Anolis sagrei: one gene and its partner. The protein of the gene in region 1 interacts with the protein of each later gene in a biochemical or structural test. Links are inferred from orthologs where the notes say so. Each region holds a gene or a part of one and is shown in the gene's direction. Other genes may lie near its edges.

Region 1 (6,864 bases):
TGATGATGACGACGACAGATGCCCTTGGCAATCAGAAAAGTTGTCGAACCCACATTGGCAGTCTTAGTATTGGTTCATGGTTTTGTTTTGTTTTTCTGTGTCAGGAGTGACTTGAGAAATTGCAAGTTGCTTCTGTTTGAGAGAACTGGTTGTCTGCAAGGACATTGCCAAGGAGACGCCAGGGTGTTTTACCATCCTGTGGGAGGCTTCTCTCATGTCCCTGCATGAGAAGCTGGAGCTGACAAATGGGAGCTCACCCCGCTCCCATGGGAGCTCCGCTCCCTGCTCCCATCGCCAACCTTTCAGTCAGCAGTCCTGCTGGCAAAAAGGTTTAACCCATTGCACCACAGGTGCTCCATTGGTTCATGGGGGAAGATATGCTTTGGTATTTCAATCACAATCTTTTCATTGCTTTAGAAACCTGAATCTCAGGCTCATAGATCTCTGTCCACTAAATATGTGAAAACACAGTATGACATGACAGTAATAGAGGCAAGTCTTACCTTGCAGAACAAGCTGAGCTGCATCTGAGAGCAAATGCTGGGTCACAAACGTGTCATTGCTACTTCGCATACTTGAATGAGTGATCAAGGGAAAACTTTTTTTCAACTTCTAGGAACACTTATCTAGGATGACAATCTGTATGCAATTAGATGGACATTGTTCCCGGATAAGCTTATTTTCAGTTATCATATAAAGTTTGACCAACAGTGACTATGGGTAAAAATAAACATCCGCCTAATGGCCTTTTCCCCAACAGCTAAGTGTTGGCTTTTGCAGAGTCTCAAAAATGAATTGGTGCATCATTGCTAAAAGATGGACTTCATTCGAAAGAGCAATAAAGGTTCTTGACACTGTAGATTGAACAGTCAAATGTTCTATAATAATATTTTTCAGCTTCTGTTAAGATATCCAGTAATGGAGGTTGGATCTTTCCCCAGGAATAGTGTCTCTCCTTTTGGTCTCCAGTTTCTGTGAAGCCGAGCTCTACTTGTGACAGATAGCAGGACTGGCAGTAAAATGTCTTATGGTCATTAATAAGCAGTAAAATGCAAAGTCTGCAAGTATGCAAATCAGGAACACATGGATGCCCCTTTTCTTGTTATTTATCTATTAATGATACGTGCTGAAACAACATGCTTTGTTATAAATTAATTACTGAGCAGGTACTATTTTTTTCCTAAATCATGTCTAATGCTCATGGCCCATAGTTAAACCAATATCTATGTTGATTAACCTGGCCTTCTTCCAATATGGGACACAAAGTGGCTTACAAACGACTGGCGACGTAGGAATTCAGCATTTACAGATTTATACATATACCTCCAAATATATTTATACATTTATACATATACCACCATATAATCCAGATTATCAATGCAGATAATTGACATGAACTCGATTATATGAGTCTACACTGCCATATAATCCAGTTTAAGGGAGATAATCTGGATTTTATATGGCCATGCAGAAGGGGCCTTAATATAGTTTCCATTCATGGGAGGGGGGGGGGGACCCAATTCTGCTCCTTATACTTCATTTTGAATCTTCCCAGTTTGTATAAACAAAGGTTTTCTCCTGACATTAAGTCCAGTCGTGTCCGACTCTGGGGGATTGGTGTTAATCTCAATTTCTAAGCCGAAGAGCTGGCATTGTCCATAGAACCTCCAAAGTCATGTGGTCCGCATGACTGGATGGAGCACTGTTACCTTCCTGCAGAAGCGGTACCTATTGATCTACTTACATTTGCATGTTTTCAAACTGCTAGGTTGGCAGAAGCAGGGGCTAACAATGGGAGCTCACACCGCTCCCTGGATTCGAAACTGCGACCTTTCGGTTAGCAAATTCAGCAGCTCAGTGCTTTAACCCACTGCGCCACCATGGGCTCCTCTGTTACCAAGTTATAATTGGTGGAGAGACTTACATTGAGAAAATGGTGTGGGGACTGAGTGGTTTCTACTGGGGCTATAACCACCCTTCAGACTGCAGCCATGGGAACCTTTTGAGTAGATGTAAAAAAAAGAGGCCCGCTTTGGGTCAGACCAAAGTCCTGTCCAGTCCAGTGCACTGGTTGAAGAGATGCTTCTGAGGAGTACATGTCAGCAACATGTTCTGAGGAGAACATGTATGGACATATTCAAGAAGCATTCTCTCCTGCCGTTTCGCCTACATCTATGGCAGGCATCCTCAGAGGCTGTGGACAACTTCAACATCAAGGAGGAAACCATAAAAATGAACAAAATCTGGCTACCAGTATTTAAAAAAACTAAAATCAAGACTGTAAATAAAGAGCAACACACAAAACACATGAAACAATCAAAGCCAGCTAACATCTACAAACAAAGGATTCCCCCAAGCAGGAAGCAGCCAGTCTTTGAAGCTGCACTGCCATTCAATGCCAATCAAGGTGGCCAATAGCAATAAGACTTTTTTTCTCCCACCCTGGACATTCCACAGATATATAAACCTCACTTGCTTTGTTTCCAACAGACCTCTCACCCTCTGAGGATGCCTGCCATAGATGTGGCAGAAATGTCAGGACAGAATTTATTTTATTTTTATTTAAAACATTTATATCCCCCCCCCCCTTCTCACCCTGCAGGGGACACAGGGCGGAGCACTACATATTTACGGCAAACATTCAATGCCGGGACATATAACCATAAATATATACAAACATTAAAATCACTTATATCCACATTGAAAGTTGCTTAAAAACCATCTCAGGACACCATTTTGCCTCATTGCACGGCCCTAAAGGCTTGGTCCCACAGCCAGGTCTTCACCATCCTTCTGAAGGACAGGAGGGAAGGGGCTGATCTAATATTGCCAGGAAGGGAGTTCCATAACTGGAGGGCAATCACTGAGAAGGCCCTGTCTCTCGTTCCCATCAAACGCACATGTGATGGTAGTGGGACCGAGAGCAGGGCCTCCCCTGATGATCTTGGTTTCCGAGGTGGTTCGTAAAGGGACAGGTAAACTGGGCCGGGGCCGTTTCCTCTTTATCATTCCTAAAGTGTGTTTAGGAATGATAAAGATTCAAAGTGGTGAGTGTATAAATAATATCATTGACTCATGCAAGCAACAAAAGTATAGCTCTCTTACAATAGAACTGGAATCTCATGGGTGTATTTACCTTTTTAGAGAAAATATTAATTTGGATCAATAATCAATGCCATATTTATACAGAGCATGAAGAGTTTAGGACAGGCATAGGCTGTTAGGAATTGTGGGAGTTGAAGTCCAAAACACCTGGAGGGCTGACATTTGCCCATGCCTGGTTTAGGCCTTAAAATTGTTCACATGTGAAGTGCAGGGTCTCCAGCTGGAGGTCAGCTGTGACCAACAGTGCTGTAGAATTTGAAGAGGCACGAAAGAGAAACGTACCAAGAGGATGGCGCATCAAGCCAACCCCAACCGAGATCGCTTTCCACCTGGAAACCAATGCCTTCACTGCGGGAGAAGATGCAGATCAAGAATAGGGCTCTATAGCCACCTCCGGACCCATCAGTACACTGATCTACGGACCCACCCTGGAGGATTATCCTACTCTGACAACGAGGGATCGCCTAAGTAAGTAAGTAAGCTGGGTCCTTATGATGGCAGTCAAGGATCTGTGTCTCTGAAGAAGTGGCAGCTTTAGTCACCATTGGGCTGCTAAACTGGGTGCTGCAGAGGGTCCGCAGGGCCAGTTAAATGCACAGCAATTGTGTGTTTTGTTCTGATGGGTGCATTTCAGTTCCAAACTGAGCACAGATCCACCTAGAGAGAGCCCTGCCGAAGGTGAACGGGGCGGGGAGAACAGGTTGTCCCTCCCCTGGTTACCTGTTTCTCCCTCAGGTTGCGCTTTTCCCTTCCTGATACCATTCCTGTGTGTTCATTAACTAACTAGTGCTCAGGGAGACATTTGCCAGGGAAAATAATGGGGCCTTGTTTACAAAAACTAAACGTTTGAGCCGGATTTCCATCTCCTTCTCCCTGGGTCACTAAGGAAGAACCTTCACGCCTGAACAGGTAAATTTTTAGCTATGAGCCTTTCCAGTTTGAATGCAACAGGCATGCACCCGATGCAATGTTTTATTGCATTAGGCCTCTTGCTTTTATTGATATTAATAACTAACACAATAATTAATATTATATTCCTGTTTTTCTCCAGCAACTATTGTCAGTGTAAAAACATAGTTGCCAACTTTTAAATTTTGTATATCTGGGAGCAATGCAGCACTTGACAAAGAAAGATATCCTCAGGCTCGGTTTGTATTTCCACATTCCTGGAAATAAGTGTCATTGGGGCCAATGGACTTAACCCTTGAGTCAACTTTTACAAGATCGCTCCCCCAATAGGATGAGATCCCTCACAGGAGGTATATATTTACACCAAAGATACTTTAGGCAACAAAGAAACTGTAAAAAAGAAATTCAAAGTTACCGGCACATTTGTTAGTACCTAAGTTGATGTTCTGAATGAAATCTTGGATAGGAAATCAACAAATCATTAATTGAAAATCTGACATGGGATTATAATCCTATTGGACGAAACCCTATTGATTGGAGCCCCCCGTGGTGCAGTGGATTAAACTGCTGAGCTGCTGAACTTGCTGACTGAGAGGTCGGCAGTTCAGATCCAGGGAGTGGGCTGAGCTCCTGCTGTTAGCCCCAGCTTCTGACAACCTAGCAGTTCAAACACATGCAAATGTGAGTAGATAAATAGGTACCACTCCTGCGGGAAGATATATATCAAGGCAGAAAATCCCACAATATCTGCTTTGAACTGGATTATCTGAGTCCACAGTGCATTATATTCCAGTTCAAAGCAGAAAGTGGGAGATTTTATTCAGCTGTATGGAAGGGGATGTAATAGTCTTTGGATGTGGAAAGATACAGCAACGTCTAGAGGTTTTGTAATGGTGGGAAATATTATAATGTATTGAAACATAAATTGTTTCGAAAGGAAATACAAAGACAGCGTTATGGTCATTATGGTAATTGTTAATATGATCAAGAACAGATCGATAGGCGCCCCCGGTGGTGCAACGGGTTAAACCCTTGTGCCGGCAGGACTGAAGATCGACAGGTTGGAGGTTCGAATATGGGGAGAACATGGATGAGCTCCCTCTGTCAGCTCCAGCTCTCTATATGGGGACATGAGTGAAGGCTCCCACTAGGATGGTAAAACATCAAAACATCTGGGCATCCCCTGGCCAACATCCTTGCAGACGGCCAATTCTCCCACACCAGAAGTGACTTGCAGTCTCTCAAATCTACACACAAACATATACACAATTCAATATGTTGTTATATTCTTGGGGCATATGTGCAATACTTATTTACTTATTTCCATTTGTTGTTCTAGATAATAGAATAATCCCAGAAACACAGAAAGCAAAATGACAATTGTATATATAGTTATGGCCCCTTCTACACTACCATATAATTTAGATAATCAAAATTGAACTAGATTATATGGGTCTACAGCAGGCACAGGCAAACTCTGGCCCTCTGGGTGTTTTGGACTTTGACTCCCACAATTCCTAACAGCCAGTAGGCTGTTAGGAATTGTGGGAGTCGAAGTCCAAAACACCCAGAGGGCCAAAGTTTGCCAGTGCCTGGTCTATATTGTCATATAATCCAGTTCAAAGCAGATAATCTGGATTTTGTAAGGCAATGCAGAAGGGGCCTTAAAGATAATGACATATTATATATATATATATACACACACACACGCACGCACGCACACACACACACACCCAACGTAAACGGGCTGGGAGAATGTTGGATATTGGATAATAAGGAGGGATTAAGGAAAAGCCTATTAAAAGTCAAATTACATTATGATTTTACAAATTAAGCACCAAAACATCATGTTTTACAACAAAGCAATAGAAAAAGCAATTCAATACACAGTAACGTTATGTAGTAATTACTGTATTTATGAATTTAGCACCATAACATTACAATGTATTGAAACAGCTGTGGATTCGGGCTGGAAGCAGACTGCGTTGGATAATACACAATGTTGGATAAGTGAAGGGTGGATAAGCAAGACTCTACTGTGTGTGTGTTTGGTGTATGCAGGTACTGCATGTTTTTTTCTTCAGTTTTTGATCATCCTCCTGATTTGGTTTTTTTTCTCCCCAGGACTGCATGCTGTGGAATCCCACCTTTTCAGCTTTCCTTAGTGGGGTCCCCAGTGTCTGGGATCCTGATGCCATCCTGCAGGTACGTTTCTCCCAAGCTGGATTTTTATTTTGCCTAGGAACCTAATTCATAGCAGAAGAATATCTTTGGGAAGGGAATCAGAAACTGTAAGGAAAATTAAAATAACGATTTTGCTAGCAGTGTCTATAATGAAGTTTGAAGCAGTTGTGGGGAACCACGTGTTTCTCCTTATGAACCTTCCAGGACTTTAAGATCATCTGGGGAGGCCCTGCTCTCAGCCCCAACTTCATCACAAGTATGGCTGGTGGGGACGAAAGACAGGGCCTTCTCAGTGGTGGCCCCTCAGCTATGGAGCACCCTCCCTAAGGATATCTGATCGGCCCCCTTCCTTTTAACATTTCAGAAGAAAGTCAAGACTTGGCGTTTTGAGCAGGCATTTGCAAATACAGTGTAATAGACATAGGGAAATGGAATGGTTGGACAATGTGATTGGACAATGTTTTTAACGGGCGACCCTAATGTTTGTGTTTTTATTAATTTTATTATGGTTTTATTATCCAATTGTTTTTATTGGATTGAAATTGTATTTTATGGTCTTGGTACCAACTGTAAACCTCCCCGAGTTGCCTGTGGGCTGAGAGGGATGGTATATAAATATAGTAAATAAATAAATAAATAAACAAGAGTAATCCCAAAATGTTTAGA
Region 2 (7,826 bases), on another chromosome or scaffold:
CCTCTTTCCACTGATTTGATAAGACGCCTTTATCATTCCCCGCTTGTACTGAATTACATTATATTTATTCACTGTTTTGGGACAAACCCTGAACAGGAAATGGGATGTTTTCCCACAATGGGCACAGCAAAGGTCAAAACAACAGAATTCCACAAAGTTTGGTTCGAGCGATGCAGAACCCAATGCCATTGTTAAAAACTACTTCGAAACCCATTTGCTTCCGCTGTGTTTGTATTATTTCTGTAGCCATTTGCAAAGGCAGCAAACAGCATGCAATGTTCAATGTATTGTCGAAGGCTTTCATGGCCGGAATCACTGCGTTGTTGTAGGTTTTTTCGGGCTTTATGGCCATGGTCTAGAGGCATTCTCTCCTGACGTTTTGCCTGCCTCCTCAGAGGTAGTGCATGGCAAGCCCCCTCAGAGGTAGTGCATGCAATGTGTCTGTTACTAGGTTGCAAGCTTTTGTTATGTTGTGTTTCCAGAGTCTTTCCAACACTCAGATGGGATAAACGTTGAAAAACAATATGAAAAGGAGAGAGGGAAGTATTTCTGAGTGTCACAAAGACTGGAAACACAACATACAAAAGCTTGAAATCCGCAAGCATGCGGACAATTTCTACAGAAGGGAGGAAACTATTAAAATGAACAAAATATGGGTTGTTGTAGGTTTTTCCGGGCTATATGGCCATGTTCTAGAGGCATTTTCTCCTGACGTTTCGCCTGCATCTATGGCAAGCATCCTCAGAGGTAGTGAGGTCTGTTGGAACTAGGAAAAGGGTTTTTTTATATCTGTGGAATGACCAGGGTTCGACAAAGGACTCTTGTCTGTTGGAGCTAGGTGTGAATGTTTCAACTGACTACCATGATTAGCATTTGATTGCCTGGCAGTGCCTGGAGCAATCTTTTGTTGAGATGTCCTTGTTTGTTTCCTCTCTGTTATTTTGCTGTTATAATTTTAGAGTTTTTTAATACTGGTAGCCAGATTGTGTTCATTTTCATGTTTCCTCCTTTATGTTGAAATTGTCCACATGCTTGTGGATTTCAATGGCGTCTCTGTGTAGTCTGACATGGTGGTTGTTGGAGTGGTCCAATATTTCTGTGTTCTCAAATAATATGCTATGTCCAGGTTGGTTCATCAGGTGCTCTGCTATGTCTGACTTCTCTGGTTGAAGTAGTCTGCAGTGCCTTTCATGTTCCTTGATTCGTGTTTGAGCGCTGCGTTTGGTGGTCCCTATGTAGAGCACAACAACAGAGTGGAAACAAACAAGGACATCTAATCACCTCTCAACAAAAGATTGCCCCAGGAACTGCCAGGCAATCAAATGCTAATCATGGTAGTCAGTTGAAACTTTCACACCTAGCTCCAACAGACAAGAGTCCTTTGTCCCACCCTGGTCATTCCACAGATATAAAAACCCCTTTTTCCTAGTTCCAGCAGAACTCACTACCTCTGAGGATGCTTGCCATAGATGCAGGCGAAACGTCAGGAGAAAATGCCTCTAGAACATGGCCATATAGCTCGAAAAAACCAACAACAACCCAATGATTCCAGCCATGAAAGCCTTCGACAATAGATTGAACAAAATATGGCTACCAGTGTTTAAAAAAAAATCTAAAATCAGGACAGTGAATAAAGAACAACACTCATAAATGGGAATTCCTGACAGGGCCAGCTAACACCTCCGAACAGATTCCCCCAGGTAGGAAGCAGTCTGGCTTTGAAGCTGCAAGGCCATTCAATGCTAATCAAGGTGATCAATTGCAGCATTCACACTTGCCTCAATCAGACAAGAGTTCTTTCTCCCACCCTGGACGTTCCACAGATATATAAATCCCACTTGCCTAGTTTCCAACAGACATCACAACCTCTGAGGATGCCTGCCATAGATGCAGGCGAAACGTTAGGAGAGAATGCTTCTAGAACATGGTCATACACCTCAGAAAACTCACAGCAACCCAATAAATACTGAAATGAAAACAATGTATTGTTCAATTACAAATCTAAAGCATATAAACACTAAAACTAAACCCAGGACTACTAAAAAGAATGAACTAAATTCACGAAAAACCTATTAAAATACGTAACACATGACACAACTCCCCCTGGCTTGGTCTTAACATTAATGTTATAATGTTAATTTTAATTATTTTTCATAATCAGAGAAAGTGACAAAGCCGTGTGCCCTACTATTTCAATTAATTTGCTGCAATATTCTAATTACTGTATAAATGTTGAGTCTCTGAAATGGTTGGGAGCAAAAGTATTTGGGATATTTCCCCCTCAGGTTTAGGGATCTCTACATTTGCATATCCATATAAATATAGATATGTATATATATGAATTGTGATTATCTTGGAGATGGGACATAAGACTAAACATGTCATTCTTTTGTGTTTCATATACATTTTATATGCTATTATAGTCTATAGGTTATTTTATACGCCGTATTTTTAATGATTTTGTGCATGGAGTCAAGTCAGTGTCCTCTGAACCATCAGAAAGCAAAGTTTTTGCATAATAATAAGAACACATTTAATAATAATACATATAATAAATGTAAAAATATAAATATAAATTAATGATTAAGGATTATAATAATGTCATTTGGACAATTTTGAATTTTGGATGAGTTCAGAATTCCAAATAAGGGGTTCAGTGCCTCTAAATATTCATTAAACAGATTACAAAATATTAAGAAGTGAGTCCTTGGTATATAATAATGCAGGCTGTATCATATCAGTGTGTAATGCTATACATTGCAATGGTCACAATTTGGCAAATACCAATTGGAATACTCATCTTATCGCTGAAAAAAAGTCCTAATTTCACCCCATTTTCCCACTTTGTTCCAAACACAGTCCTGGTTTCCCTTATTTTGGGAGTGATTGACCTTGGATCTGAGAGTTGTAGTTCATCCTTATCCAGAGAGCACTGAACCTAGCCGATGTCAGATCTGGACCAAACTTGGCACACAGACCCAACATGGCCCTCTGTGTATACAGGCCTGGTTTGAGGGTGATTGTCCTCTGCATATGGGAGTTGTAGTTCACCTTTATCCAGAGAGCCCTGAACCCAGCCAATGACGGATCTTGACCAAACTTGGCACACAGACCCAACATGGCCAATTGTGAATACTGGCAGGGTTTCGGGATGATTGACCTTGGCACATAGGAGTTGTAGTTCACCCTTCTCCAGAGAGCACTGAAGCCAGCCAAGAAAAAACCCAGCCGTCAAATGCCCTTTTCAAATAACCCGGTCATTGCCAGGTCGCCAAGCGAGTATATTTAGAATGTCAAGGTTTATGAGTTTGTGGCTGAGATTGTGGGTTTCCTCTTGGTCACTGCATTGACATCACTTTAGCCCTCAGATTTGGAGGACAAAATGTGATTGATTTCACTGCTTCTGCAATGTGATGCAAGTTTGCAAATTGTTTCTAAGGCTCCTTTTACACTGCCATATAATCCACTTTATAAATGCAGATAAACCACATCTGCTTTGAACTAGATTATATGAGACCCTTCCTACACTACCATATAAAATCAACATTGGCTCCTTCTAGACTTCCATATAACCCAGTTTATCAAAGCAGATAATCCACATTATTTGCTTTGAAGTGGATTATATGAGTCTACACTGCCATATAATCCAGTTCAAAGCAGACAATCTTGATTTTATATGGCAGTGTAAAAGGGGTCATGATCTGTTTTGAACTGGATTATATGATGCCCCATCTGAACTGCCATATAAAATCCAGATTATCTGCTTTGAACTGGGGCCCCATCTGCACTGCCATGTAAATCTGATCTGCTTTGAACTGGATTGTATTGCAGTGTAGACTTGTATAATCCAATTCAAAGCGGATAATGTGGATGACCTGTTTGATATTTATTTGTTTGTTTGTTTGTTTACTGTATTTGTATACCGCCTTTCTCAGGCAATCGGCGACTCAAGGTGGTTTCCAACAAAACAGTACATATAATATCACAAAACAAGTTAAAACATTAAAACAGTATAAAACAACAATAATAACAACATCATTAGCGTCTCCTTATTATCAAGCATTGTCCAATTCCGTCATCAAGTCATTCAATTTTCTATGTCATTTACTCTGTATTTGTAAACGCTTGCTTGAATAGCCATGTTTTAACTTGCCTCCGAAACATTAGTAGGGAGAGAGCCGATCTGATCTCCCTAGGGAGGGTGTTTCATAGCTGAGGGGCCACCACTGAGAAGGCCCTGTCTCTTATCCCCGCCAGATGTGCTTGTGTCGAAGGCAGGACTGAGAGCAAGGCCTCCCCAGATGACCTCAGGGTCCTTGAAGGTTCATAAGGGGAGATGCTTTTGGACAGGTAAATTGGACCAGAACCATTTAGGGCTTTAAAGGCCAAAGCCAGCACTTTGAATTGGGCCCAGTAGCAAACCGGCAGCCAGTGGAGCTGGCGCAACAAGAGGGCCGCTCCTGTTAGCAACCTGGCTGCCGTTCGTTGGACTAGTTGAAGCTTCTGGACCGTCTTCAAAGGCAACCCCACGTAGAGCACGTTGCAGTAGTCTATACGGGATATAACCAGAGCGTGGACTACTGTGGCCAAGTCAGACTTCCCAAGGTATGGGCACAGCTGGCGCACAAGTTTTAACTGTGCAAATACTCCCCTGGTCACCGCTGAGACCTGAGGTTCCAGGCTCAGCGATGAATCCAGGATCACACCCAAGTGGTCTCTGTTCCTTGGCTCTGATCAGGCCTTTTGGGGAACCTCTTGAAAGTCCTCTTGATTTTCCAATATCGTCTCTTTCTTTTTTGCAGAAGACAAAAGCTTGCGCAGGGAGCTGGGCCTCAGTGTCCCTTGCGTTCCTGTCGTGCACCAGAAGCATGGGCTGCTGCTGCAGTTTGGACTGTGATGAGGGCTGGGAGGAAGGGGACCTGGAGATCTGTCAGACCTGTCACTATCCCATCGACCCAGACACCAAGCCCCAGGTGAGAGGTTTTGCAACTGCACTGGAGAGTTAATGCAGTTTGGTACCACCTGGACTGCGATGGCTCCAGGCTTGGCAGACCCAGCCAGGATGCTATGGCTAATAACACAACGTAACATTATTGTGTTATAAATATAATTTTCTAGTTGGTGCTATCATGAAAACATTATTATTTTTAGTGTTGTTAGCTACTTTGGGTCTCTTTTTAGAGAGAGAAAGCCGGATATATATAGCAAATAAATACAATAATAATAATTAATAATAATGCAATGGAATCCTTAGGGTTGTAGTTTGGGGAGACCCAAGAGATGGCTGGAAGCCTTGCAAATCCAATAATACTAATACTACTTATAGTAGCTACCTACAGACCCACAACGAAAACACTACACTTGGAGGACCATCATCCTCCAGCTACGAGGGATCGTCTAAGTAAGTAAGTATTATTATTAGTATTATTACTAATATTATTAATACTTACTTACTTAGGCGATCCCTTGTAGCTGGAGGATGATGGTCCTCCAAGTGTAGTGTTTTCGTTGTGGGTCTGTAGGTAGCTGCGGAGACCTATTCTTGACCTGCACGTTCTTCCGCAGTGAGGACATCAGTTTCCAGGTGGAAGGCAGTCCTGGTCGCAGTTGGTTTGACCTGCCTTCCTTTTGGCATGTTTCTCCCCTTCTCACTTCATTCATGCTTCTAATTCCTCAGCACTGCTGGTCACAGCTGACCTCCAGTTAGAGCACTCAAAGGCCAGGGCTTCACAGTTCTCGGTGTTTATGCCACAGTTTTTAAGGTTGGCTTTAAGACCATCTTATTTATTTATTTATTTATTTATTTATTTATTTATTTATTAATGCACTTGTATACCGCTAATATCTCAGCCTAAATCGGCGACTCATTGCGGTTTACAACACTTAAAAACAACAATATTCAGATTAAAAGCATAAAACACATATACAGTACACAGTATTGGGCCACCAATACAGACCAACGCATCTCTTAACTAAAATCATAATCCAATTTCGTTGTCTGTGAATTGCCAGTCCTTGATCATGAACTTCATCGCACCGGATTAGCCGAATGCTTGTTCAAACATCCATGTCTTCAGTTTTTTTCGAAATACCATCAGCGAGGAGGCTGATCTTATCTCTATAGGGAGGGCATTCCAAAGCCGCGGGGCCACCACAGAAAAGGCCCTGTCTCTCGTTCCCGCCAGCCGCACCTGTGAAGCAGGTGGGATGGAGAGTAGGGCCTCTCCCGAAGATCTTAGGGTCCTGGTGGGCTGATAGGCCGAGATACGTTCGGATAGATATGTTGGGCCAGAACCGTTTAGGGCTTTAAAGGCCAATGCCAGCACTTTGAATCTTTAAATCTCTTTTCCTGTCTTCCAACATTACATTTTCCATTCTTGAGTTGTGTGTATAGTAACTACTTTGGGAGATGGTGATCGGTCATTCGGACAACGTGGCCAGTCCAGCAGAGTTGATGGCATAGGCTGACACTTGTCCGCCTGTCTTCCCAAGAGATTTGCAGGATTTTTCAGAGGCAACACTGATGGAAGTATGATGTCTGTAGACAATCCAGGTTTCGCAGGCATATAGCAGGGTTGGGAGGACAATGGCTTATAAACAAGCACCTTGGTATCCCTACAGATGTCCCGATCCTCAAACACTCTCTGCTTCATTTGGAAAAATGCTGCACTCGCAGAGCTCAGGTGATGTTGTATTTCAGTGTCAATGTTGACTTTTGTGGTGAGGTGGCTGCCAAGGTAGTGGAAATGGTCAACATTTTCTAATGTTACACCATTAAGCTGTATTTCTGGCATTGCAGAGGGATTGGCTGGTGCCTGCTGAAAGAGCACTTTTGTTTTCTTGATGTTCAATGAGAGGCCGAGCTACTCGTATGCTTCTGCAAAGGTGTTTAGAATGGCTTGTAGGACTTATTCTGAATGTGCACAGACTACGTTATCATCAGCATACTGGAGTTCTATAACAGATGTTTTTGCAATCTTGGTTTTGGTACATTGCAATAATAATGAAATGGAATCCTTGTTGTAGTTTGGGGAGACACAAGAGAAGGCTGAAGACCTTGTAAACCCAATAATAATAATAACAACAATACATTATTCAAGTTTATCAAAGCAGATAATCCGCATAGTCCTAGACACTTGGGAAGTGTCCAACGTGTGATCCAATACAACAATCAGCATAGTGATCTTGTCTGCTGTGTACTAATCTTGTTGTGTTTAAAATAATGATGATGATGATGATGATGATAATAATAATAATAATAATAATAATAATAATATGTAATCCTCAGAGTTGTCATTTGGGGAGGCATAAGAGGAGGCTGAAGACTTTGTAAATCCAACAACAACTGCTACCCACTTATGCTCATGGCTCAAGGCAGAGTATAACGCAGTTGAAATACCTAGATAAAACATAAGATCATTAAAACTTATTATATTAAAAGACACAGAGCAAGGATTAAAAGATATTAAAATCATCATGCCAACTAATACATTTAAAATTCAGTTTAAAATGGGCTTGGTAACCACACTCAGGCAGAGTTTGCCATGCAAAGTGAACATCAGAAAGAAAGAATGATGAAAATGTAGTATAATTGCACACACTTTTCAAGGCGGTAATCTTGCTCTGAGATTCCTCCATCTCAATCTGAGGACCAGAGAAAAAAGAACTGGGATGTAATAACTTCAGCATGAGATCCAGTTTGTTGGAAAACCTGGCCATGAAAGAATATTTGGTGTTTATTTGTTTGTTTGTTTACAGAGGCCGGCTTTGAATGGCTCCGAGTTTTACAACCCTCTTTTGTCTCCCGATGTAATGACACCTCCTCC

Evidence for each region.
Region 2: of the proteins of PTPN6 (region 1) and LCK, one has a biochemical effect on the other in vitro, tested with the Homo sapiens proteins (4 studies listed by BioGRID and IntAct, with this or other methods). The link is inferred for Anolis sagrei from reciprocal best matches to the Homo sapiens genes PTPN6 and LCK.

Annotation. Positions count from the first base shown.
Region 1 is NC_090022.1:198,223,712-198,230,575, forward strand, and holds the start of PTPN6 (tyrosine-protein phosphatase non-receptor type 6), read left to right. Parts: upstream 1-3,849; 5' UTR 3,850-4,014; intron 4,015-6,138; 5' UTR 6,139-6,205; coding exon 6,206-6,219; intron 6,220-6,864. UniProt on the Homo sapiens protein: Tyrosine phosphatase enzyme that plays important roles in controlling immune signaling pathways and fundamental physiological processes such as hematopoiesis.
Region 2 is NC_090034.1:83,357,184-83,365,009, reverse strand, and holds the start of LCK (tyrosine-protein kinase Lck), read left to right. Parts: upstream 1-4,808; 5' UTR 4,809-4,868; coding exon 4,869-4,973; intron 4,974-7,758; coding exon 7,759-7,826. UniProt on the Homo sapiens protein: Non-receptor tyrosine-protein kinase that plays an essential role in the selection and maturation of developing T-cells in the thymus and in the function of mature T-cells. Plays a key role in T-cell antigen receptor (TCR)-linked signal transduction pathways.